Pelodiscus sinensis: one gene and its partners. The protein of the gene in region 3 interacts with the protein of the main gene of each other region in a biochemical or structural test. Links are inferred from orthologs where the notes say so. Each region holds a gene or a part of one and is shown on either strand. Other genes may lie near its edges. The genes, in order: OCLN, CGN and TJP2.

The links.
Region 1: the proteins of TJP2 (region 3) and OCLN form a complex in vitro, tested with the Homo sapiens proteins (3 studies listed by BioGRID). The link is inferred for Pelodiscus sinensis from reciprocal best matches to the Homo sapiens genes TJP2 and OCLN.
Region 2: the proteins of TJP2 (region 3) and CGN form a complex in vitro, tested with the Homo sapiens proteins (2 studies listed by BioGRID and IntAct, with this or other methods). The link is inferred for Pelodiscus sinensis from reciprocal best matches to the Homo sapiens genes TJP2 and CGN.

Annotation. Positions count from the first base shown.
Region 1 is NC_134716.1:81,590,865-81,598,577, reverse strand, and holds the start of OCLN (occludin), read right to left. Parts: upstream 3,172-7,713; 5' UTR 2,747-3,171; intron 2,434-2,746; exon of another isoform or gene 2,284-2,433; intron 1,079-2,283; 5' UTR 1,036-1,078; coding exon 986-1,035; intron 78-985; coding exon 1-77. UniProt on the Homo sapiens protein: May play a role in the formation and regulation of the tight junction (TJ) paracellular permeability barrier.
Region 2 is NC_134734.1:15,102,289-15,110,278, forward strand, and holds the start of CGN (cingulin), read right to left. Parts: upstream 3,250-7,990; 5' UTR 3,131-3,249; intron 1-3,130. UniProt on the Homo sapiens protein: Probably plays a role in the formation and regulation of the tight junction (TJ) paracellular permeability barrier.
Region 3 is NC_134716.1:32,194,729-32,202,765, reverse strand, and holds the start of TJP2 (tight junction protein 2), read right to left. Parts: upstream 3,393-8,037; 5' UTR 3,370-3,392; exon of another isoform or gene 3,161-3,369; intron 3,113-3,160; exon of another isoform or gene 2,956-3,112; intron 2,861-2,955; 5' UTR 2,723-2,860; intron 1-2,722. UniProt on the Homo sapiens protein: Plays a role in tight junctions and adherens junctions. Acts as a positive regulator of RANKL-induced osteoclast differentiation, potentially via mediating downstream transcriptional activity.

The DNA of each region.
Region 1 (7,713 bases), about 49 Mb from region 3:
CTGGTTGAGAGTACATGGGCTGAGAACGCATGTCCTCAACATACGTAATGTTGCTTGGTACATAGTGAGAAGGTTTGCTGCAATAAAAAGAAAAAATTATCAACTTAAGTTTTCAGCAGTTGTGAAAAACTGTTAAAAAAACTGTAGTGCACAACACATGAAGTTAGATTAATTCAGGAAGTGGTCAGATTTAGACAGTTTTTAAAGAGTCCTATATTTTTCAATGGAATGCATATATTCCTCCAAAAAGACATTTTATTTTCTCATGCGCTTTTATGATAGTTGTTCACAAATAATATTAGAGGGTTGAAATTAATCCACTCTGACCACTGGCATTTAAAGATTACTGGAATGTGTGCTCTGGAGAACTCAGAGAATGTTTAAGAGTGATAATTTGCAGTATTTATCATACCAAACAGTAGGGCCATTTGTAAAGCTATTTAGAAGGAAGGGCACTCAACTTTATAATGCCTATCTGATTTAGGAGCCTAAATCTCATTTTTAAAAGGAATGTAGGCACTAAGGAGTTTCAACCCCGTTGATAGACAGGTATTGCAACACTGAGTGCAGCAATCACTAATTAATTGTGGGTCTGGCCCACGAAAGCTCATCTAATAAACCATCTTGTTAGTCTTTAAAGTGCTACATTGTTCTGCATTTTGCTTCAGCTACCCCAGACTAACACGGCTACATTTCTATCACTAATTAACTGTTGTTTGATTAGTTTACACATGGAAGAGACAAAAAGCATCCTGTAAAGTGGTAAACAAGCTATTAGAACACACTATATGTGCTGGACAGACATTTCCTTTTTTGTTAAATACGTAGCCAGATATAGGCTAACAGCAGCAACTTGAAGACAGTTGACACAGTTACTGTTAACAATTGTATAAATAAGCTGTTAAAGATATGAATTTCAACTATGTACACTTGCTTATCTGGAGTTATTTAAAGTAGTAACCAAAGAAGAAAAGAGAATATTTACAATTCATCTGGTCGATAAGGTGGAGGACTTTCAAAAGGTCTGGATGACATAGTTGAAGTACTGGTTCTCTAAACTGAGACTTATTTTTGGTACCTAGGAAAAAAAAGTGACAATTACAAAACAATCTAAACAGCTTATTGACATTATAGTTAGTATGATCGCCTTATACTATACAGATGGCTGTTCAATTACTAAAAACAGAAAGTCAAATCCACAAAAAAAAATTTTTTCAAGGACTTCCAATAAATAGAGCTTTCCACTCCAAGGTACACAAACAGTTCCTAAAATATACAAAGACTCCCCTTCATCATACAGTGCTTTAACACAGTAGTTGATCTTAACTATGATTTTTCCCCAAAATATCTTGAAATATGTAACATCTTAAGCTAGATCTCAAGTAGGAACACCAATCAAGAATTCTTCATGATCACCTACCATTTTCTTCTTTTTTGAAGGGGGCATTAGTTTTGCCCTTACCCAATTTGTTAAAATATTGACCTAAAATAGCACAAGATTTCAGATGACCATTGCTCTAGAAGATGATGCTAGATCAATGCTCTGGATTTGATTACCTCTAGAGGTTCCTTCCAGTTCTATGACTGATTAAGTCCAGCAAAAGAAAAGAGCAACTAGCAACTTGTTATTGATGCATTTAAGAGAGTGGCAATTTTATCTCTCCTCCACCCGAAAGGACAGCAAGTACAATGTTTTTGAAGGTAGAGGTTCTTGGTTTTAGAGTCAATCAATCTGTGGATTGTTCCAAGAGCTCTATTTTAAGTTATCCTTTTAAAACTATAGTTTGAAACAATGGTTTCAGTCCCTGAAGTGGGTATCTCCATTAATTGCTGGAGTAAGAAGAGCCTTTCAGTTAAACATCAGCAAAACATTTCATAAACGTAGTTATGGTGAAAACAGATATTTCAACCAAAATGTAATTTGTTTCAGAGCAGCCTTGAGGTGATACTACAGTGAGAAAAAGGAAAGAGCACAAGACATTAGCTGCAAAATAATGCAGAGTTTCTTTGAGAGGCAAAGAAGAATTTAATGTACCTGTTCCTGTGCATACCAAAAATCTCTCTACTGAGAAGAAAGCTTTCATAACAGACTGAATGCCCTGGTAGATTTGACATTCTTGAGGAAAAAGAAAATATATCTTAAGGAAGCAACTTGTTAAAAAAGGTTCATCTTTGAACCGACCATTCAAGAAGGACTTACTGACTTCTTTGAAACGATCTGGCATTTACAACTTTTGTGGAAACTACATATTAAAATCGTATAATAGATTTCTGCCTCCTTACCTTACTCTTTTTGGAGGAACTTGCACATCAGAGAACAATAACTGAGACGAAACCCTTATTACAGTGCACAGCCCTAGAACCAAGAGGCAGGCTAAGGTACAAAAGATGTAACTGAAGAATCATCCCTGGTGTCACAGGGACAACGCCCAACTAATACAGAACTGAGTTTAAATATGCAACTGAGCGTTTAAAGAAATAAGATCTACGTATGATCTGGCTATAATAATGAGCAATGCACAGTAGTACCCTAGAGACGAGAAGTATCAGCTTTTTTTTTCTTATTTCGATATTTCCAATCACAAGCCGTAAGTATAAACATTTGGGAAAACTTTTAAGAATAAGCCAGAAGCCCTTACACTTGGGCATGGATGCGGTTGGGAGAAAGGGACGACCCCTCCCCCCGACCCTACACAAAGCAAACACACCAGTCACCAGACACACTCTACTCTTGCCCCCATCGCACCTGGATGTCCCGTTCCGAGATTTGTAAACCGCTTCGGTCCAAGAGTTCATTTACCTTAACGCCAGCAGCGCACGCACCCGCTTACGCTCGCCTGATTCCCAGCTTCCCTGCTCTTTAATCTCTCTGGAAGCAGCCGCTGCTGTAAGCCCTCTCCTCCCCCCCGGTACCAGCCGCACCCCGCCGCGGTGCATGCGCCCTGCCCGCACACCTAGGGCTCGAGGACAGGCGCACTCACCCCCCCCGCCCAGCAGCTCCCGCCTGGAATGCGGGGTGGGAGCCGCCCGCTTCGGCCGCACTGATTGGCTGCTCCCCTCCCCTCTGCCAGTGGCGCGTGACCCCTTCAACTGAAACTCGGCAGCCCCAGCACCAGGCAGCGAACAGGTTGATCCTGCAGCGAGCGCGCGGAGGGGGCCGAGAACCAGTTTCGAGTGAGGATGGACTCAGCTCTGAGAGTCTAGTGCAAACAAAGGGCGGGCTGGGGGCGTGCCCGAGAACCTCCCAGCCGCGGGCGAGTCGCTCCCCGCCCTTCAGTGGTGCCAGCACACACTCAACTCACTCTCCCCCTCTGCTGCCCGGCACCGCTCCCCAGATCTGGAGGGAGGGGGGTCGCAGCTCCTAGCCCAGCAATCCCCTTTGGAATTGTTTGCAAAGTGTCTCTTGGACTGTAGACATAACGCACGAATGGGGAAGAGGGGTTAGCGCCCGGAAAAAAGGCACCTTTTAAAATGATGGCTAGAAGTAGGCTGGTTCAAATTCGGGGAGAGCAAAGCCAATGCCACCCTTTTAAAGCAGTAGTACTGGAAGTGGCTCGGGGCTGTTTCTATGCACCTCTCCCATTGCATGCACCTAAAGGAAATAGAAAGAATAGTGTCACAATATATTAACAGGCATTTTATAGATATAGCTAAAGATTGAATTTAAAGCAGAAGGGTTAGACAGGTACAACACCTATTCATGGAGCCACTAGTATAGACAGTACACTTTTTTAGCTTAATTGCTAAACACTGAGTAAGAAAGCTAAAAAAAATAGCTACATAAACTTTGACTGTGGTCAAAGGTGTAAAAGGTTCACTTTCCTCAGCACTACCCTGTAGCTATGAGGGTCACACCCCCACTCCAAAGGCAGCGAGGTTGAGGAAAGATTTTTGCCACTGACTATTTGGGCATGTGAAGTTCCTAGACCAGTGATACTCAGACTGAGGCTCCCAAACCACAAGTGGCTCTTTATTTCACTTCTTGTAACTCTGCAGCACAAGATATTAAAACACTATGGTTAATAATTTTAATTTAAAAACCAGGAAACATTTACTATGCTTTTAACCAAATATAAATTTGCTCTGAGTTAACTAATCTGTTGTTTATTTATACTATATATAGTACTATAGTAAATACAAAAATGAATTCACACTACTGTGGCTCTTTTGGGTAATGAAGGTTTATAATTTGGCTCCTGAACCACTGAGGTCTGAATATCACTATCCTTAGAGCAACAGAAAGACCACTTTGGGTATTGGTTAAACTGAATAGCAGTTTTGCTATACCATCTTAGCACCCACACTGTAAACATGACTTAAGAGTGTCCATATACATAACTTTCCCCTGTAACCAAGGCTCAAACTAAAATACATTTTAATTGCAAGCAAAATAAAATTAAATGGAGACAGTGCTTCATCTTCCTTGGATGCTGTACTTACTTCCTGCAGGGAGAGTCCTGTACTTGAAGATTAATCAACTGTGGAGATGGACATTTAAGTGTCACATTGATATCCCTAGAACAGTGGTCTCCAACCTTTGTAAGCATGAGATCACTTTTTTAATTTAAGTGCAATCCAGGATCTACCCCAAACCAAAACATGCTTGCCCTGCCTCCTTCCCACCCCTTTTCCATGGCCCCACCCCTGCTCACTCCATCCTTTCACTCTCCCCCATCCCCACTCACTTTTATCAGACTGGGGGCAGAAGGCTGGGGTGCGGGATAGAGGAATACAGACTCTGACCTTGAGCTAAAAGATCTGGAGTGTGGGAGGGATTCTGAGCTGAGGTAGTTGAGCAGCAGGGGGGTTCAGGCTCTGGGAGGCAAGGGGACTATGAGCTAGGGTAGAGATTTGGGGTGCAGGAGAGGTTCAGAACTGGGGCTGGCGTTTGGATGTGGGCTCCAGCTGGGCACCGCTTACAACAGATGGCTTCTTGGTGGTGATGCAGGGGACTAAGGCAGGCTTACCCCTGCTCCCAAAAGCAGCCAGCAAACTCTCTTCATCCCTGCCCTCCCCTCTCCCCCAACTATGTGGAGATGGGGTACAGAGTGGGGGGAAGGACACCCTAACTTCAGCACCCCGTCCTCTTCTTGTTCCCTGCACAGCAAGCAAGAAACTCCCAGGGGTGGGGCACAGCTCCAAAGCAGAGGGCAGGAGCAGCACGGTAGTGCTGAGAGGGGCAGATGAAGTGACAGCATTTGATAGCCTCCTCGCCACACCTGTCAGGATCACCTGTCAAAGGCTCCAAGATCTACCAGTAGATCCTGATCTACTGGTTGGTGACCACTGCCCCAGAACTAACTGATCCCAGAGGCAACTAAATGAGAAAGGCCCCTTGCTACTGTTACAAAAATTCATATAAAAAGGGAATGAAACAAAAGAAAGGACTATGCAGCATTTTAAAGACTAACAAGATGATTTATTAGGTGATGAGCTTTCATGGGCCAGACCCACTTCCTCAGATCAAATTCTGGAAGAGAATTGGCACGACCATATATACCAAAGGAATACAATGAAAAAAAAAGTGAACACATTATAAAACTGACAAATCAGATTTAGAACAGAAGGGGAGCGAGGTGGAGGACTAGTATCCATGAGATAATGATACTAGGGGTGATAAAAATCTATTCTAAATCTGATTTGTCAGTTTTTCTATCATAAGAGCATAACCAAAGGAGGAATAAGTTTCCACACAGGATATGGGCAATATGCCTTACTTGTATTCACATACCTACAAAAATTGCCTCTTGGAACTAGAAAATAATCCGTTTCTATGTCCACTCAATGCACATTAGTAATGACATTAATTTTGAAGCCTAGTCTTATGAAGTGAATAGAATGTTTGGAGATTAGACAAATCTAATTGCTTGAATTAGTCAGGGGTTGATTTCTTTGCTCTGTAAAGTCACCCATCTTTATTATTTATTCCACATGTTTGTATGTTGATATAGCAACAGCAACTTGATCAAGGCATATCCTGGTAATTAATATTGCATAATCAGCATCATAGAGAAGAAAGATTAGACAAGTGTTTTCAGTGAACTTATATTCAAAGTAGACAAAACAGAAAACAAAATAGTACACTTGGCGATTAGAGGACAGATATCTCTGAATGGAATTTTTGTTCCTATATAGATAGCACTTCTAACATTAGGAGTGGATTACAAATAAACAGTATCTAGAAGTCGAGCCTTTTGTCTCTAGGATTTTAATTATACCCTATACAGCTGAAATTGCAAGTGGAATGTAGGTGGGCAGAATAGTTACTTAGATAACCTATCAGAATGTAAGTATCCAAACTGCTATGATTTCTTAGAAAATCATCACAAATTTATCAATGATCAAAATAATTTTATGTTTTGTCTTAAGAACAGTATCTGCTATGGCATAATGTCCCTATCACAGGGCTGGGCAAAATACGGCCCAGGGAGCCGGATCTGGCCTGCCAAGCCACAGGCTGCAGCCCATAGACGGCCCTGACTGGACCCTCAGGCAGACACAGCTGCCGACTTAAACACAGTCCCTGCATTTCTCTGCTCTGCAGGGAGGTGGAGGCTTCTGTGAGATCACCCCACTCCCAGCCCAATCCTCAGGTCCTATTGGCCAGAAAGAACCAGCCAATAAGAACTGACCTCAGCTAATCTCTCAGCTCCGATTGGCTGGAAACAGCCAGTCAATCGGAGCTGAGAGATTGGCCTGAGAGACTGGGGCAGCCCGATATGAGAACCAGGTGGAGGGAGCAGCCTGTATTTTCAAACAGATTGGGGTGTAGGCCAAGAGGCACTTAGGTAAACTCCTCTCAGCTAGTGCCTACTTCTGGCACCCCCAACCCATCCTGCACCCCAACTTCCTCCCCCAGATCACCATCCAAACCCTCTGCTCTCTCTGTTCCAGGTGACAACTCCCTCCCAGACCCTGTACCTCCTCCTACACCTCTCCCCCAGGCCAGAATCCAATCCTGCACCCACACCCCCTCCTTGACCCTACACCCCAATCCCTTGACCCAGGTTACAACCCCCTCTTTCACCCATACACCCGCTGAGCCCTCACACCGTCTCCTGAACCCCAGTCCCTTACCCTGTGCACCCAACCTTCACCCTAGACCCTCCACAGAAAAGTGCAGACCTTGACCATTAACCAAAATCTTGGCATGGCCCCTACCAAAAATTTTTATATTCCCTGATCTACGGACTATAAAACTAAGCGTTATTTAACAAGGACACACTCTAAAGTGAATTAAACAACAAAGACAGGAACTAAAAGTGGCCTCTCCTCTCACTGCGAGTAAACCTTAACATTGTAGTTGGTGAGCACACTGCCCTTTTGAAAAATCAGGCCAAAAATATGGATTTAGCAGCTTAGATTTAATTCCTGTTTTTGAAAATCTTGGCCCTCTGATACAATCAGAGGGATGATCCTACAAATGACAAGGAGTAGGCAGAGCCCTATTTGCTGCTGTGGGTGGCAGAAGAGTACATCCACATACTTTTACTTGCAGGATCAAGGCTTAAGTATACATTTTTACAAAGAGTTGCAAGAGCAGCATGTTTGATTTCCTTGATTTCTCACCTCTCTTTTCAGTAGTGTACCTTCTAGTTGTTCAGCCAAAAACTAAATAATCAGGCCTAATTTTATTCATAGATAAGAAATAGTTATGATCACAGAAAAATATTCAACTATCAGACCCTACTTTATAAATTAGTTTCCTCAAAA
Region 2 (7,990 bases), on a different chromosome or scaffold from region 3:
TTGCAAATAAAGACTTCCCTGAAGTCTTCTCCTTTCTGCAACTTTGAGACTAACCAGGAATCTTCGCATAAAACAAGACAAGAATATTGTGTCAAGTTTAGATTATCCAAGCACTTAGTACAGTTCAGGGTTTGTTTTGGTTTAGATGCGGGGGGTTTTGTGGGTGTGGGGGGCTAAGAACAGAGAAGACGACTAATTCATTTTTAGAGACAAAGATAAAAACCAGACAACTACAATCTATTCATTTAAACAATGAGGGGTCTTATGGCATCTTAAAGACTAAACAGATTTATTTAGCCATAAGGTTTCATGGATAAAAGCCACTTCATTAGATGCATCTGCTAGTCTTTAAGGTGCCACTGGACTTCGCGTTGTTTCTGGAAATACAGCCTACACAGCTACCTCTCAGTGTCTAATCTATTCTCTTGTCATGCAGTCACACACAGCTTCTATATCAAGACCAGTAGCACTTCACTTGCAGTGGTTCCCAAACTTTGCTGCATCACGCCCCCTTTTTGATTTTTGAGAAACCCTCACACTCCCCCCCCCCAAAATAGCAGCAAAACTTGGGGTGGGATTGACAGGAGTGTGGAGCTGGGTCGCCTAGCGCCCCCCCTGGAATTTCTTCACACCCCCGAGGGGCACACACCCCCAGTTTGGGAACCCATATTGGAGGGACATTCACTTTGTGAGAAATGAGCCACTAAGCACTTAAACATATAAACTGTGTCTAGACTGGCAAGTTTTTCCGCAAAATCATATGATTTTGCGGAAAAACTTGCTAGCTGTCTACACTGGCCGCTTGAATTTCTGGAAAAGCACTGACGACCTCATGTAAAATCATCGGTGCTTTTCCGGAAATACTATGCTGCTCCCGTTCGGGCAAAAGTCTTTTTCCGAAAGACTTTTGCGCAAAAGGGCCAGTGTAGACAGCATAGTACTGTTTTCCGCAAAAAAGCCCCAATTGCAAAAATGGCGATCGGGGCTTTTTTGCGGAAAACCGCGTCTAGATTGGCCACGGATGCTTTTCCGCAAAAAGTGCTTTTGCAGAAAAGCATCCTGCCAATCTAGACGCGATTTTTCCGAAAATGCTTTTAACAGAAAACTTTCCCGTTAAAAGCATTTTCGGAAAATCATGCCAGTGTAGACGTAGCCATACAATATAATAACTAATGCAAAAAGTTCATTGCCAACTCATAATTAATTACCATCACCCTCCCTTAGAACATCTGAAACAGACATTCCCATTTGCTTTACATAGCAACTGCCATAAACACAGAAATACAAGGGATATCAGGCTGAAACATTATGGGTTTGTTTACACACCAGTTTTTACAAAGCCTAATCTCATGCCTTCATCTTCATTGAAAACTGTTTGTTTGGAGTGACACCCCCACCACAAGACACTGGTGAGGGGCACTCAGAAACAGGAGTATTGTTTTTAATGCCTGGGAACCAGAGAGCGAAACTGAGTAGTGAGTTTCAATGATTGCTCTAGTTTCGATCAGCTTGCAAAGGTAAGGAGGGTAAAGGGGAAGGCCTGAACTAGCAAGCTGCACCTGCAATTTTAAGACCCGTTTGGGCTTTTTAATCATTTTAAATGTGATCAGCGACACAGGAAAGGATTCTTCTGTGTTCTTACTATATCCCTTTAGAAACAGTGTCCATGTCAGTGTCACAGGAGATCATAGTCAAGCATGAGAAAAATACACACAGGACTACAAACAACCCCACAGACCATTTGCTCCTCACAGCCTGGAGATCTATACTACAAACAATAAGGCTGGAAATTATCTAACTAGTTACCAGTGGCTGTGTTTGAGGTTTTCTACAGGGCATGGGGCTATGTTCATTTCAGGTTATGATGATGTATTCCTCCTCTCATCTTTCATCATGAAAGACCTGGAAACCCACTGAACCACCAGTCAGGACCAGGCTGCATGGAAGTAGCAGAGGTTTCAGCTGCAATCCCTGCCGATGGGCCTCACCAGCAGAAAGCCCCTCATAGGGGTCCTCATGTTCAGTCTCCATGTCTCATGCAGCCTTTCTGCTAAGGCCTGTTATGGCCATCCAGGATTACAACTTTGCTAAGCACCTGACCTCTAGGAAGCAGACCCAAAGTCCATCACACACAGGCTACTGAATTAAAATGACTTTCAGTCAAATCCAGCTTGGGTTAGATTTGAGCAGGGAGGGGGGTCTAGGGATAAAGGACTCCAGACACCTCCCCTTCCCCCCAATTGTCCTCCTCACCTAAACCCATTCTGGGCAGGGGGAAAAAAACCTCAGCACATGACACTGCTTCTCTAGAAATAATAGGATGAAGCTGGGGTTTGGGAAGAGGAAGGAGTGGTGTTTCTTCATAAGAGAGTCACTAGAACAGGGACACACCAAGAGGGGTCCTATAGGAGCAGCAGGAGCCCTGGAGGAACTAGGAATGAGGGAGAACATGCCTGAAGAAGGGAGTGCTTTATGGGGCAGAGGAAGGGGGGGGGGGGGGAGTGTTTTAGAGGAGGGAAGTAAATACATATAGGTCAAGGGGAAATGGGTGAACCACCAGGGGAAGAAGCAACTGACCCTATAGGACAGAGCTTCTTATAGGGGAAGTCATTATAGAGGGAACATGGCTCTCCAGGGGAAGAGTCCTTATATGGAGAACTACTACAGAGGAAGGCTCTCTATAGGGGAGGGCACATCTCCAAAGAGAATCCCTATATAGACACAGTGTCACTATAGGAACCCAGCAGGTTCCCGGGGGATACAGGGGCTTTCCCATTCTGGGGGCCTCCCCAGGAACCATAGCTATGGGGGAAGGCAGCAACCTAAAGGGACAGGGCAAGTTCCAGGGGGCAGAGTTCCTATAGGAGCCATAACTATGGGAGCACGCAGGCTACGGGGAGGGTTAGGTGACACCGAGCCCCTATAGGAGCCACAACGATGCAGGAAGGCGGCGCCCCTATAGGGGGCAGAGCCCGTCCCGCGAGCAGAGCCCCTATAGGAGCCAGAGCTCCGGGGGAATCCAGAGCCCCTATAGAAGCGGGGCAGGTCCCGGGAGCCAAGCCCCTATAGGAGCTGCCGCGGCTGAGGGAGGAAGGCAGCGCCCCATGGGGCAGGGGGTCCCCGCACTCACCGCGCCCAAGCCGCTCCCCGCCGCGAGCGCTCCTCACCTCCGCGCCCTCACCGCAACCTGTTACCTTCGCCCAGGCCCCGCCCCCGGCCCCGGCCATTGGCCTGGGCTCCGGACAGACACGCCCCGTCCGTCCCCCCCCCCCCCCCACTCCCGCCGCGAGAAAGCCGCGCCCCGCCCGCGCGCCGCCCCGCCCCCGTTGGCCCGCAGCCAGCCCAATGGGCGGGGCTGGGCAGGAGAGATCAGCTGACTGCTCTGAGCGGGAGGGGCGCGCCGCCATCTTGGCGAGCGAGGGGTTCGGAGGAGCTGTTCGCAGCAAGCCCCGCCTCCTAGAGCGCCCCCCCCCCCCCCCCCCGGCTTCTCCCAAGCCAGTGCCCCCCCTTCCTACCTAGCCCCTCCCACCCCATAGAATCATAGAATAATAGGCCTGGAAGGGACCTCGAGAGGTCATCGAGTCCAGCCCCCCGCCCTCAAGGCAGGACCACGCTCCGTCTACACCATCCCTGACAGATGTCTATCTAACCTGTTCTTAAATATCTCCAGAGAGGGAGATTCCACCACCTCCCTTGGCAATTTATTCCAATATTTGACCACCCTGACAGTTAGGAATTTTTTCCTAATGTCCAATCTAAACCTCCCCTGCTGCACTTTAAGCCCATTACTCCTTGTCCTGTCCTCAGAAACCAAGAGGAACAAATTTTCTCCTTCCTCCTTGTGACACCCTTTTAGATATTTGAAAACCGCTATCATGTCCCCCCTTAATCTTCTTTTTTCCAAACTAAACAAGCCCAGTTCATGAAGCCTGGCTTCATAGGTCATGTTCTCTAGACCTTTAATCATTCTTGTCGCTCTTCTCTGTACCCTTTCCAATTTCTCCACATCTTTCTTGAAATGTGGCGCCCAGAACTGGACACAGTACTCCAGCTGAGGCCTAACTAGTGCAGAATAGAGCGGCAGAATGACTTCACGAGTTTTGCTTACAACACACCTGTTGATACAACCTAGAATCATATTTGCTTTTTTTGCAACAGCATCACACTGTTGACTCATATTCAACTTGTGGTCCACTATGACCCCTAGATCCCTTTCCGCCATGCTCCTTCCTAGACAGTCGCTTCCCATCTTGTATGTATGGAACTGATTGTTCCTTCCTAAGTGGAGCACTTTGCATTTCTCTTTATTAAACCTCATCCTGTTTACCTCTGACCATTTCTCTAACTTGCTAAGGTCATTTTGAATTATGTCCCTATCCTCCAAAGAAGTCGCAACCCCACCCAGTTTGGTATCATCTGCAAACTTAATAAGAGTACTCTCTATCCCAATATCTACATCATTGATGAAGATATTGAACAGTACGGGTCCCAAAACAGACCCTTGAGGAACTCCACTTGTTATCCCTTTCCAGCAGGATTTAGAACCGTTAACAACAACTCTCTGACTACGGTTATCCAGCCAATTATGCACCCACCTTATCGTGGCCCTATCTAAGTTATATTTGCCTAGTTTATCAATAAGAATATCATGCGAGACCGTATCAAATGCCTTACTAAAGTCTAGGTATATGACATCCACCGCTTCTCCCTTATCCACAAGGCTCGTTATCTTATCAAAGAAAGCTATCAGATTAGTTTGGCATGACTTGTTCTTCACAAACCCATGCTGGCTATTCCCTATCACTTTATTACTTTCCAAGTGTTTGCATACGATTTCCTTAATTACCTGCTCCATTATCTTCCCTGGGACAGACGTTAAACTGACCGGTCTATAATTTCCTGGGTTGTTCTTATTCCCCTTTTTATAGATGGGCACAATATTTGCCCTTTTCCAGTCTTCTGGAATCTCCCCTGTCTGCCATGATTTTTCAAAGATCATAGCTAAAGGCTCAGATACCTCCTCTATCAGCTCCTTGAGTATCCTGGGATGCATTTCATCAGGACCTGGTGACTTGCTGACATCTAACTTTCCTAAGTGATTTTTAACTTGTTCTTTGTGTATCCTATCTTCTAAACTTACCCTCTCTCTGCTTGTATTCACTACGTTAGGCACACCTCCAGACTTCTCGGTGAAGACCGAAACAAAGAAGTCATTGAGCATCTCCGCCATTTCCAAGTTCCCTGTTACTGCTTCTCCCTCCTCGCTAAGCAGTGGGCCTACCCTGTCCTTGGTCTTCCTCTTGCTTTTAATGTATTTATAAAAGGTCTTCTTGTTTCCCTTTATGCCTGTAGCTAGTTTGATCTCATTTTGTGCCTTTGCCTTTCTAATCTTGCCCCTGCATTCCCATGTGCCCCCCCTTCCTGGGTAGCCCCTCCCATCCCATGTGCCCCCCCCTTCCTGGGTAGCCCCTCCCATCCCATGTGCCCCCCCTTCCTGGATAGCCCCTCCCATCCCATGTGCCCCCCCTTCCTGGGTAGCCCCTCCCATCCCATGTGCCCCCCCCTTCCTGGGTAGCTCCTCCCACCCTATGTGCCCCCCCTCCATGTCTTCCACCCCTTGTGCTCCTCTGGGCTGAGCCGCTCCCACACCAGTCCCCTGGCCTGGGCAGCCCCCCTGCTCGCTCTCCCCACCCCCTCCTAGTCAGTCTGCAGTCTGGCTTTCCCATCCCCCCTCTGTTCCCTTCCCCATTGCCCCCGGCCTGCCCGCCTGTTTGCACCTGATCCCTCTTCTGGCCTGGACAGCTCCTCTGCCCTCCCCAATGCAGCCTCCGATTTGCCCCCTAGTGCCCTCCACCTCATAGGCCTAGGCAGGGCAGTTCCCCATATTGCTGTATGGCTTCCTCCACTTCAAAGCTAGGTCAAGGGACTTCCTTTCATCTCTCTCCCACCTGGGGGGGGGGGAGGGAGAGAGTGCAAGGGAGCATTCCCTACAGAAGCCTGGCCAGTTTTCCCCTGTATCTCTTCTGTTCTTGGGGATGGGAAGATTCCTCTCACTTCCCTGAACTACTCCCTCCACCTCCTCTCCCCACTGTGTCTCCCAGATAGGCTGGGAGGAAGAGCAGCTCTCCTAGTGCCCCCTCTCCAATGTCCTTTCTACCCACTCCACCCCCAACATTTTAAGCACAGGCCCTAGGTGTCTCCGCATCTCTTCCCACATCTCCATCTCTTGCCCCCTCTCTCTTTCCCTTCCTGTCTCTCTTTCTCCTGATGCCCACCTCTCTCCAGTGTCTCCACAGCTTGTGTGAGCTCTTTATGGACAGCTTTCTCTATCTCCAAAGGTGCCCGAGGCACTGTTGGTGCTATGCAAAATATAATGCCCCTTCCCTCCCACACACCCTCTGCTTTATCACTGTTCCTGAAGTCAACTGGGCTAAATAAATCCTCTGATTTCTTAGCTTGATCTACTGCCCTTCAGCTCCACAAGCTTCATGACTTTATTTGCACAGCAAGCACCCCTGAAATGCAGTTCGCGCTCCTTTTTACCTGAGTAGGTGGCACAATCCCTCACATAAGGATGGAAGGAAATGTTTAGGCCATGGGTCATGTCTGTTCTCTTAAATCATTCTTTCCTTCATTCCCTCCCACTTGTTTCTCTTTTCTCCCTGCCAGGACTCACATGGTGTAAGTACTGTATGTATGTAAGATATAAGTATGGAAGATTAGGATAATGGTGAAAGATTCTCGCCTATGTTATACAGGAGGTCAGATGAGTTAGAATAGCCTTTCTGGCCTTAAAATCTATGGGCAAGTCTACACTAAAAATTTACAGCTGTGCAGCTGCAGTTTCTGATGAAGACACTTTAAGCCAACAGGGAAGAGCTCTCTCATCAGTGTAATAACTCCACCTCCATGAGAGGCAGTTTCTATGTTGACAAGAGAAACTGCCCCGCCAATGTTACACTTGTCTACATGGGGGTTAAGGTCGATATAACTATGTTGCTCAGATGTGTGGGTTTTTTTGTAATACTCCTGGGCAATGTAGTTATATGGAAGTAAGTATGCAGCGTAGATAAAACCTATGAATCTAAGGCCATATAAATATTCACAAACTTACAGCAGCGAGCACCACTGAACTGATACAGCTGTTTCACTGTGAGGTCCCTTGTGTAGCCCTGTTATGCAGACAGGAGAGAGCTCTCCAGTCAATATAATACAACCAGGTCAATGAACTGTGCACATGAGCACTTGTGCCGGCAAAACTTAATGTTGCTCAGGGAGTGGTTTTTTTCACATCCCTGAGCTACAAACGTTTTGCTGACCTAAGTGCTAGTGTAGACTTGGCCTAAGATAGATCCAACACGTCACGTATTGACCAGAAAGGTTGTTTTTTAGTTTGCGTGTGTACCTATGTGCAGTGTTTCAAACTCTTGTGATTTTTTTTTCATCACAAGTCACACTGAAAGCCCCAGTTCCTGGCAACATGCAATTAAGAGAGACTCTTTACTTTAATTAAAACAAAAAACACCAAAGGCTAATTTCTAACCCTGAAGCTTACATGCAAAAGCTTGGAAATGTGATCTGAGTGTGTCCCTAAATGCTCAAAAAAAGAAAGCAAATTGTTAAAAAAAGTATGTAACTTTAAAAGATCTCCTTATTTTAAAGCTAATGTTGTGATTTTTGTTTGTATGGCCTGATTCATGATGCTTAGACATTTGGCCATGCTGCATATGTCAAAGCAGCATCAAGGACTCTACTGCAGTGTTCGCTGCCCACTTTGTTGACCATTCTCCCACCAAATTGCTGAGACACCTGCCCAGCATTATTTAAGGTAAAAAATAATACCGTACATCTCAAGCTTCCCAAGTGCTTTGCACACATTCACTTACAATATCACTAATAGTGTAATGATAATCCCCAACTGTCATATAATGCTTTGTGTCAGTAGAGCGCAAGGCATTTTAGTCAGCTCTTATACAAATGTTGAGTCATT
Region 3 (8,037 bases):
ATCTTGTTATGATGGGAAAAGCACTAGAAGAGCAATGCATGGTTATTATTTTTGTGTCATGCCCAACACTGAATAACCGTGAGCACTAATAAGCAACAAATCAATGCCGATTAGAAATGGCTTTTGAACATTTATTTTTGATCTACAGCTGAATGACTAACATAAGTTACACAGAGCTGTTCTTCAGGTCACTTTGTCTACTCTACCAAGTTATGTAACTACCTTACATCATCCTGTCTCTATAAGCGCCTACACTAAAATGTAGCTCCCACCTACCTGACTCACCCATTCCACTGATAAGGCTTGATCTATACACTACTACAGAGCTTGCTAACTGTCTGGGCTAGGGCACTCCTCCTGCCCCACCCCCCAATCACTCCCAGGCTGATAGCCCCAGCTGAGAGGGTGTTGCAAGGTTAAGTTTCACAACAGGGAGTCTCACAGCAGGAACTATGAATGATAATTAGGAATTATCACCCCTAATATCATTACCTCATAGACACTAACCTCCCCCCCACATCCCCTCTCCGTTCTAAAATCTGATTTGTCAATTTTATTTGTTCACTTTTTTTTTTGACTGTATCACTTTGGTATATATGGTCATGTCAATTTTCTTCCACAAATTGATCTGAGGAAGTGGGTCTGGCCCACGAAAGCTCATCATCTAATAAACCATCTTGTTAGTATTTAAAGTGCTGCATAGTCCTGTCTTTTGTTTCACCGGTGAAACTGACATTCTTGTCATTTTCATAGATGCTATTATTTCACCTTCTGTCTCCAGCTGTTGGTTAGAATGGGTTGTTCTGCTTTAAAAAAAAAAAAAAAAACTGTATTTTTACAGTCATCCCCAGAACTGGGAGAATCCATCTGTGAGCCCCACATGGGGCTGAGAGGACCCTAGCTGTGAGCCAGCACCTGCCTGACAGTTGGGAGGGGGGACAGGTGTGAGTCCCATTTGTGGAAGTGCTGCTGCTAAGAATGTGTGCCACTGACAAAAGGGGCAAGTGTGAACAAGAACCACTACTTGTAATTACTATGTTGGCTGTATGCTGAATTAACTTAAATTACAATTTGTAGTGTAGAGAAGCCCTTAAATACCCCATCTTCATGAGAGGCACAGAACTTAAGTTTATATAATTAGGTCAATGAAGTGTCAATGTAGACACTGTGTAGCTTACATCAACTTTTGCTTTCTTTCAGACACTATCCCACAATGTCCTTACACTGGCAATTATTGTTGGTGCAAACATGCCCAGTGAGAATGTGGACCACCAATGCAAAGAGCTGAGCATGGTTATGTAAAAAAAGCTATTCAGTTACTGCATAACACAGTCAACATAATTTAGGTTGACAATTTTGATGTGTAGCCTTGTCCTGAACTCAAGAGTTTGTCTCTCTCAACAGAAGTTGGTTCCATAAAAGCCACCTTGTCTCTCTAACCCTAAGTGATCATTATTAAAATTAAATTTCATTGTATTAGTGCTGTGCCTTGTACATTCTAGTTAACTTCTATGAGGTCCTTGTCACATCAAACCAGACTTGTGGTGGCTTTGTAGTGGGACAAAACCTTGGGGTTTAGCGGTTTCAAAAGCTATGTTAGCCCTCATTTCCTGTGTCAATTCCTATGCTGTTTACACAATCTCAGATTTTAAATCTTCTCAAACTTCAGCTGTTTAATTTGGACTACTGTTATTAGTAATTGGTACTGTGTAATATCTGGTTTGTGTTTTAAAGTTAGCATATAGTTTAACCTAGTAAGAAAGAGGAGGAGTTAATAGGTCTGACTGAAGAAACAAAACAGCTGTAAAGGTATTTCTGAACCCCTGAATTGCCAAATCTTGTTTTAAAATACTTTGATATCCTGAAATGTCCCCTCATCCAGAAGTATGGCTGGCATTCAGTGAGGACGTGCCAACATAAAGATCTTGGAAATTTTCTGTATTGCAAAGACACTCTGAGTCACTATTCTGGTGTACGTTTTCTCTCCCTCGCTCCCACCCACACTCCAAGAAAGAAAAACTAAAGAAAGCCTGATTCCTCAGTGACAGCTCTTCTACCCACCTACTATCATGGACTCCCTCAAAGTACTTAACGTGGGAATTGAAACAGAGGCCCATAATCCTGTTACAGAAAAGATCATCTGTAAATGAGATTCTGGGTATTCCCGCTCCCTAGAGGAGAGGCTGGTAGTGTGAAGCAGGAACAAGAGTCCCTCCCTCCCTCAGGGGCTGGCAGCCTGCTGAGGCTTGCCTCCGAGCGAACATGAAGCCAAACAACCCGAGAACAATGTGCAGCCAGCCACGCACACCCAATTCAGGCTTCTTTCAGCCAAGGCACGCACAGGCGCAAAAGGGCGAGGAGAAAGCAGGAGAGGGAAGGGGCGGAGGGTGAGCCGCAGCTTGCCGATCCGGAGCAGAGATTTACCCAAAGTTTATTTCCAATACAGAGCCAGCTGGGAAGCCGGGCTGCGGAGCGGAACTTCCCTGATGGCTGGGGAAGGGGGTTTTTGTTCAGCTCCACTGCACGGGGCAATACACCCGAGCCAGGGGACAATTCCTTCCCCGCACCAGCTAAGCTGGAAGAGTCCCCGCCAAGCGCCTGGCCTGCACGTGGCGAAGTGGGGCTCGCCCCCCACCACCCCGCGACATTCCAAATCAGCTGGGCTGGTTCGGAAGCAGCAGTTCCGCAGAGAAGGGGGAGCCGCGAGGCTGCGCCGACATACCTGGAGCGGGGCTGGCAAGGCGTCCGGCGGCAGCAGCCCGCGCCGTGTGGAGCTGAGCGCCCCCCTGGCTGGTGGAGGGAGCAGCCCGGGACGCCTGGGGGACAGGAGATGCGGGGTCTCTTTGAGTCAGGCTATTTCCTGTGGGAGGCAAATGGAGAGGGGGGGACCTGATCAGACCTCCAGCAAGGCAGGTGAGCGGGGTCGGAGCGGGCCGAGCCCTTCGGAGCACCTGCCTCTCCGCTCCCCGGCCCAGCCCTCGCTTGTTCCCCAGCGGGCGGGGAGGGAGGTGGAGCTGGGAGCTGCCATGCACGGAAGCGCTGCCTGAGGTCCTGGTTCCGCGCTAAACTCTGTCCACACGCTGGGGGGCCAGCTGGTTCTACATCCCCCCCGCCCGCGCACACCCACAGCCGCCTGAGCAGCTCCGCTCCGCCGACTTACCCCAGCCTCCTCTCCCATTTACTGGCAGCTTCTCGCCCTCTCCAGCCACCCCCACGACTGGCTCTGGCTGGAGAGGGTGGAACAGGAAATACCGGTTCAAAGCCCTGGTACAATAGGTGCGAGGAGGAAAGCTACTAGACTCGGGGTTTAGTCACTAGGTGGGATCTTCTGAGCCATTACATCAGCCCCTGTTTTGACCTGAAACTCACCCTCTCGCCGACCGCTTTGTCTCGTAAGTGAACAAAAAACTGGTGAGCCCCCCCCCCAAAAAAAATCGACATTAAATTCAAAATCACTATTATATTAATTTAGAAAGGAAAAAAAATCAGGAAAAACAGCCCTCTCTTCCCTAATCTTTGACCGCTTGGCTTAACAACGTAATTTGTTGTTAGGAAATGTCTGAGCGAAGAGACCGTGTGATTCACAGAATAGGGCAAGCCTGGGATTCAAGCTGAGCTGAGAGCTAGTCTAGTCTCTGCTACTGTCTTCCTATGTGACCTTTGGCAGGTCACTTCACCTCTACGTTTCCCCTCCCATTCTATTTAGATTGAAATCTCCTTGGGTTGAGGATTGATCTTAACTGGGACCTCTACAAATCACACTAATCTTGAAAAGCACTGCTGATTTGACAGCTGTGGCCTCTGTTTAGTCACAGAACAAGTATTGAAACAGTCTAGGTAAGACCATTTGACAGCTAACCAGTCTTCTGACAGTGGCCAAATCCAAGTGTTACAGAATGAATGAACAGAAAAGACACTCGTGAAGTGAAATATTACTAGCTTCTGACAAAGAGAGGCTAGGGACACTTAGAGCATGGAGTTGCATCCATGCCCATCCTGGCTAATTGCCATTCAGGGATCTATAATCCTCCAGGAATGTCTAGTTCTTTTTTGACCTGTTATGATTTTTACTTTCACAAAGAGAGTTCCACAAGTTGACTGTGCCTTTATGTGAAGAAGTACTTCCTAGTGTTTGTTTTATACCTGTTGCCTATTAATATCATTGGGTGAGTCCTGGTTCTTGTAACATGAAGGACTAAATAGCACTTCTTTATTCACTTTCTCCTTACCATTCATGATCTGAATAGATCTCTATCCTATTCCCTCTTAGTTTTTTTTCTTTTCCATGCTGAAAAGCCCATCTTTTTAATCTTTCCTCATATGGATGTTGTTCCATACCCCTTTTTGTTGCTCTTCTCTATACCTTTTCCAATTCTGTCTATCTTTTTGAGATGGAGAGACCAGAATTACAAGATGTGGGCATATCATGGATTTATTTAGAGGATTGCATATGGATTGCTCTCTCTCTCTCTCTTTCCTAATTGTTCTTAACATTATTCTGTTTTCCTGGTGGGTTTGAGAAATCTTTGGATTATCTGGTTGGTGATATCACACCTCACAGCTGAAACTTCTGATAGCAACTCAAGTTGCAGGCTAAAAAATGTAATTGAACCCTCCAGTTCTTCCAGACACGATTCTGAAACCTAAACTTCCCTAATCAGCCTATGCTTCGAGATGTACTTCCAGATATTTCAGCTTTCCAGTCTTTGCTGAAGTCATTGATCTGAAAAGAGAGTGCCAAGTCCTGACCGTCTTAATGTGAAAAATGAGGGTTTATTTAAGAAGTAATATTTACACATCATAAAGGAGCAACAAAAATCGCCTTTTGTTGGCTAGTTTGCTTCATAGTATCCCTCTAAGCAAATTTCTCCCAAATCAAACAGTTTACTCCCCACAACAGCTTTATAACAGTGTATTGTAGCTGTTGGACTTTACCCTGTACAGGCTTCTGACAATTTGCAGGGCAGTTGCCAAGTGTGGGCAGGATCATTTTACAGCAGTGGCTCAAGTTTAGAAATTCTCAGAATGCCCAGGAGCATGGGTTCACAGAATTGCTTTTTGATTGACTATGGCATAATATGCCATGCATTGAACAGAAGGAATAAGAGACCATGCTTTTAATTAAATCTTTGACTTGAAAACTAAACACAGCAGAAAGAGCCTGCTTCTATTAAGATATATTCCCCCATTACAATATTTTTAAAGGCCCTGCTTCCAAGTGTTGTTAATCATTAACAGAAATGTAAGTGACATTATTGAACTATCTACTCCCCAAAAGCCCCCAAACAAATAAGGGTTAATATACATAATTGATGTTCAGGGTTAATTAAGTAATTATTTTTCCTTCAGCTACTGCAGGAGATAATCAACTGCAGTTCTAAAGCAAAATGAGACCAGACGTGGAGATTGGAGTCTCTGAATGTCCTTGCTTTTCTGAGTTTGTCTGACCATTTGCATTATTTGTTTCACGTGTTTTTTGGTGTCAATTCCTTTTTCCTTAATAAAAGTAAACTCCATATATAGTCCATATATTGCAGATAGAAAATTATGTTTATCTTCCATAGGAGTCTCATAAGGATTAGCTAATGTTTTTAAGTGTTTTGAAGATGAAGAGCGGTATGCAAGGATACATGTTATTCTTAAAATTGTATATAGAATAAGACAAACATAACAGAAAATATTAATTAGTAGCAGGAACAGTGTAAAAATCAGTGAATTAACATGTACAAAATCATCCATTGTACCATATTGATTTCTTAGTGCTACACAATTACCCAAATACAAATTGATAAAATAATTCAGCAACTTGGAGAGGTTAGCTGCCTTGCTCTGAGGAGCTTGTTGTAAACATTTGTTTTCTTTCTCTAGATATTAGCTGATTCTATCTTCCAGACAAAACCCTGGAAAGGGTGCAAATAAATAAAGTCCTTTCCTGGTCTTACTACGGTTCAAAAAAACCCCTCAATAGCAGCATACAAGTCACTCCTATTCTTTATGAAGCATTCACAGGATAGATCACAACAGCTCCAAACAGCTGTGTGCAGCCAATTTAAAATGTCTTGTCCTCACTTGCAAAGACCACATAGAGCACCTTCCATCTGCAACTGATCTTTTCTTTCATGTCCCCTTTTGCCTCACCCACTTCCAAGTGCCTTTGACTTTTTTCACACAACTTTCTCTGTTCTTCCCATGCTGACTCATATTTTGAATGCTCTTCCAAAAACTGCTTTAACCATCTACATTATTCCCAAGAACTCATTTCTGCAACACACGCCTACAAACTATTTTCAGACCCACAAAACTGAGCTATTAACCCAAACATATGCCTAAACTGAACTAACAATCCAATTTTCTCTCTTTATTCCATGGCATTAGTCTCTCTGCCCTACTCCTGCTTATTAGAGCAAGGTCAAATTTTTCAGCTTAATTATTTTTAAACAATCAGATTTAACAAAAAAATTGTAAATGTATGTAAAATTTGCTTTATTGTTTTGAAAAAGCACACCCCTCCATGTATTGCCTTTTGTCCCATCAAACACAAAGGAAAAAATTCTGAAGCTATTTAAGTTCACCATTTTCTGATTGAAATGTTTAGATTTGGAAAAACTTTGCCTTTTTTTTACTTCAGTGTTCTTTTTAAAAGGTTTAAAAAATCCTTTGAAACTAAATGTTTCGTTCACTCAAAATAAGTAAAAAAATGCAAGGTTATTTCAAATCTAAACATTTCAATCAGAGAACTGTGAACTTAAATAGCTTTTTTTTTTTTTAACAACCAAAACCTGAAATTTTTGATGAGGGTAAACTTAAAATTGATCTTTTAAATGTTTTTGGTTCAGCCAGTAAGTAAAAAACCAAAAGTTATTTGCACAGCCCTACTGTGTGTCTCTTCACTTGTCAGTCTTCTCAGTTATTTAGACTATAAACTCTTCAGGGCAGGATTTTCTCATTTTGTGAAACAACTTGTGGAGCTAAATTGGGACTTTTCTTTACCTTCTATTTTCATCCTTTTTTAATTCAGTGCATTTGTCTGAGAGTATAATGCCACAAGACAAGTGAAGTGAGGAAGCAAAAAGAGGTGCTTTAGCACCTATGCTCTTGTAATGATACTCATCAACTGAGTCAATGTATTGCAGCCTTAGTGCAGAGGGACAAATGAAGGTGCATCAGTCTCTCTGGCACACACTTTTACATTCATGTCAGGGCAGCACACAAAACTCCCAGCTTGGGATCAGGGCCCTCACTGTACAAAACATGTAAGACAACAGAACCTCTGTCCAAAGATCTTCCAATATGATGCATCAAGACACAATTTGCTTTTTGCTTTCTGAATTATGTTGTACCTTGAGATTAAACCCTGGTTCTTATAGCTGTCTACCACTCCCCCAATTTACTGAAAGCCTTTATTTACTAAAATACCTACCCACTGGAGTATAGTCAGCACAGGTGATGGAGAGCCCTGAAAATCGGCAGGCATCTGCATTCGCGGATGTGGAGGCGGATATTGGCAGCTCATTTGGGCAGATGTGGGTGTGGACATGGATATAAGTTTTGTATCTATGCAGGGTTCTAGTGATCAGGCATGTAACAAAAGAAGGAAAACACTGAATTCTAGGCATAGGTAGGATTTTAAAGGAATTCTGAAAAGTGTTCTCCATTAACCTAACTGAGCCAATAGTAAAACTTCCATTGATATCAGAGAGACCAAGTGTTAAGCCAACACTAAGCTCTTGTAAAGAATCCACCTTCCATATCCAAATTTGGAACATAATCAATTAGCTCATATCAATTAAGTGCCATTATGTTATGTAAACACTTTCAATTGAGATAGCCATTTTATTTAGACAGTTTTCTCTATTGCATGTTTGGGTTATTTTGCTTTTTACCTTCTACTTCTTGAGTCTTCTCAATTATTAGCTGTGCCTAGGAAGTGGCCATTAGCAGAACCTGCTCTTAGATTAGCACTAGAATAGGGTTGCTCATATTCTAACATATATATGTAAGATTTTCTACGACTGTAGTCCTGCACTGGAAATCCTC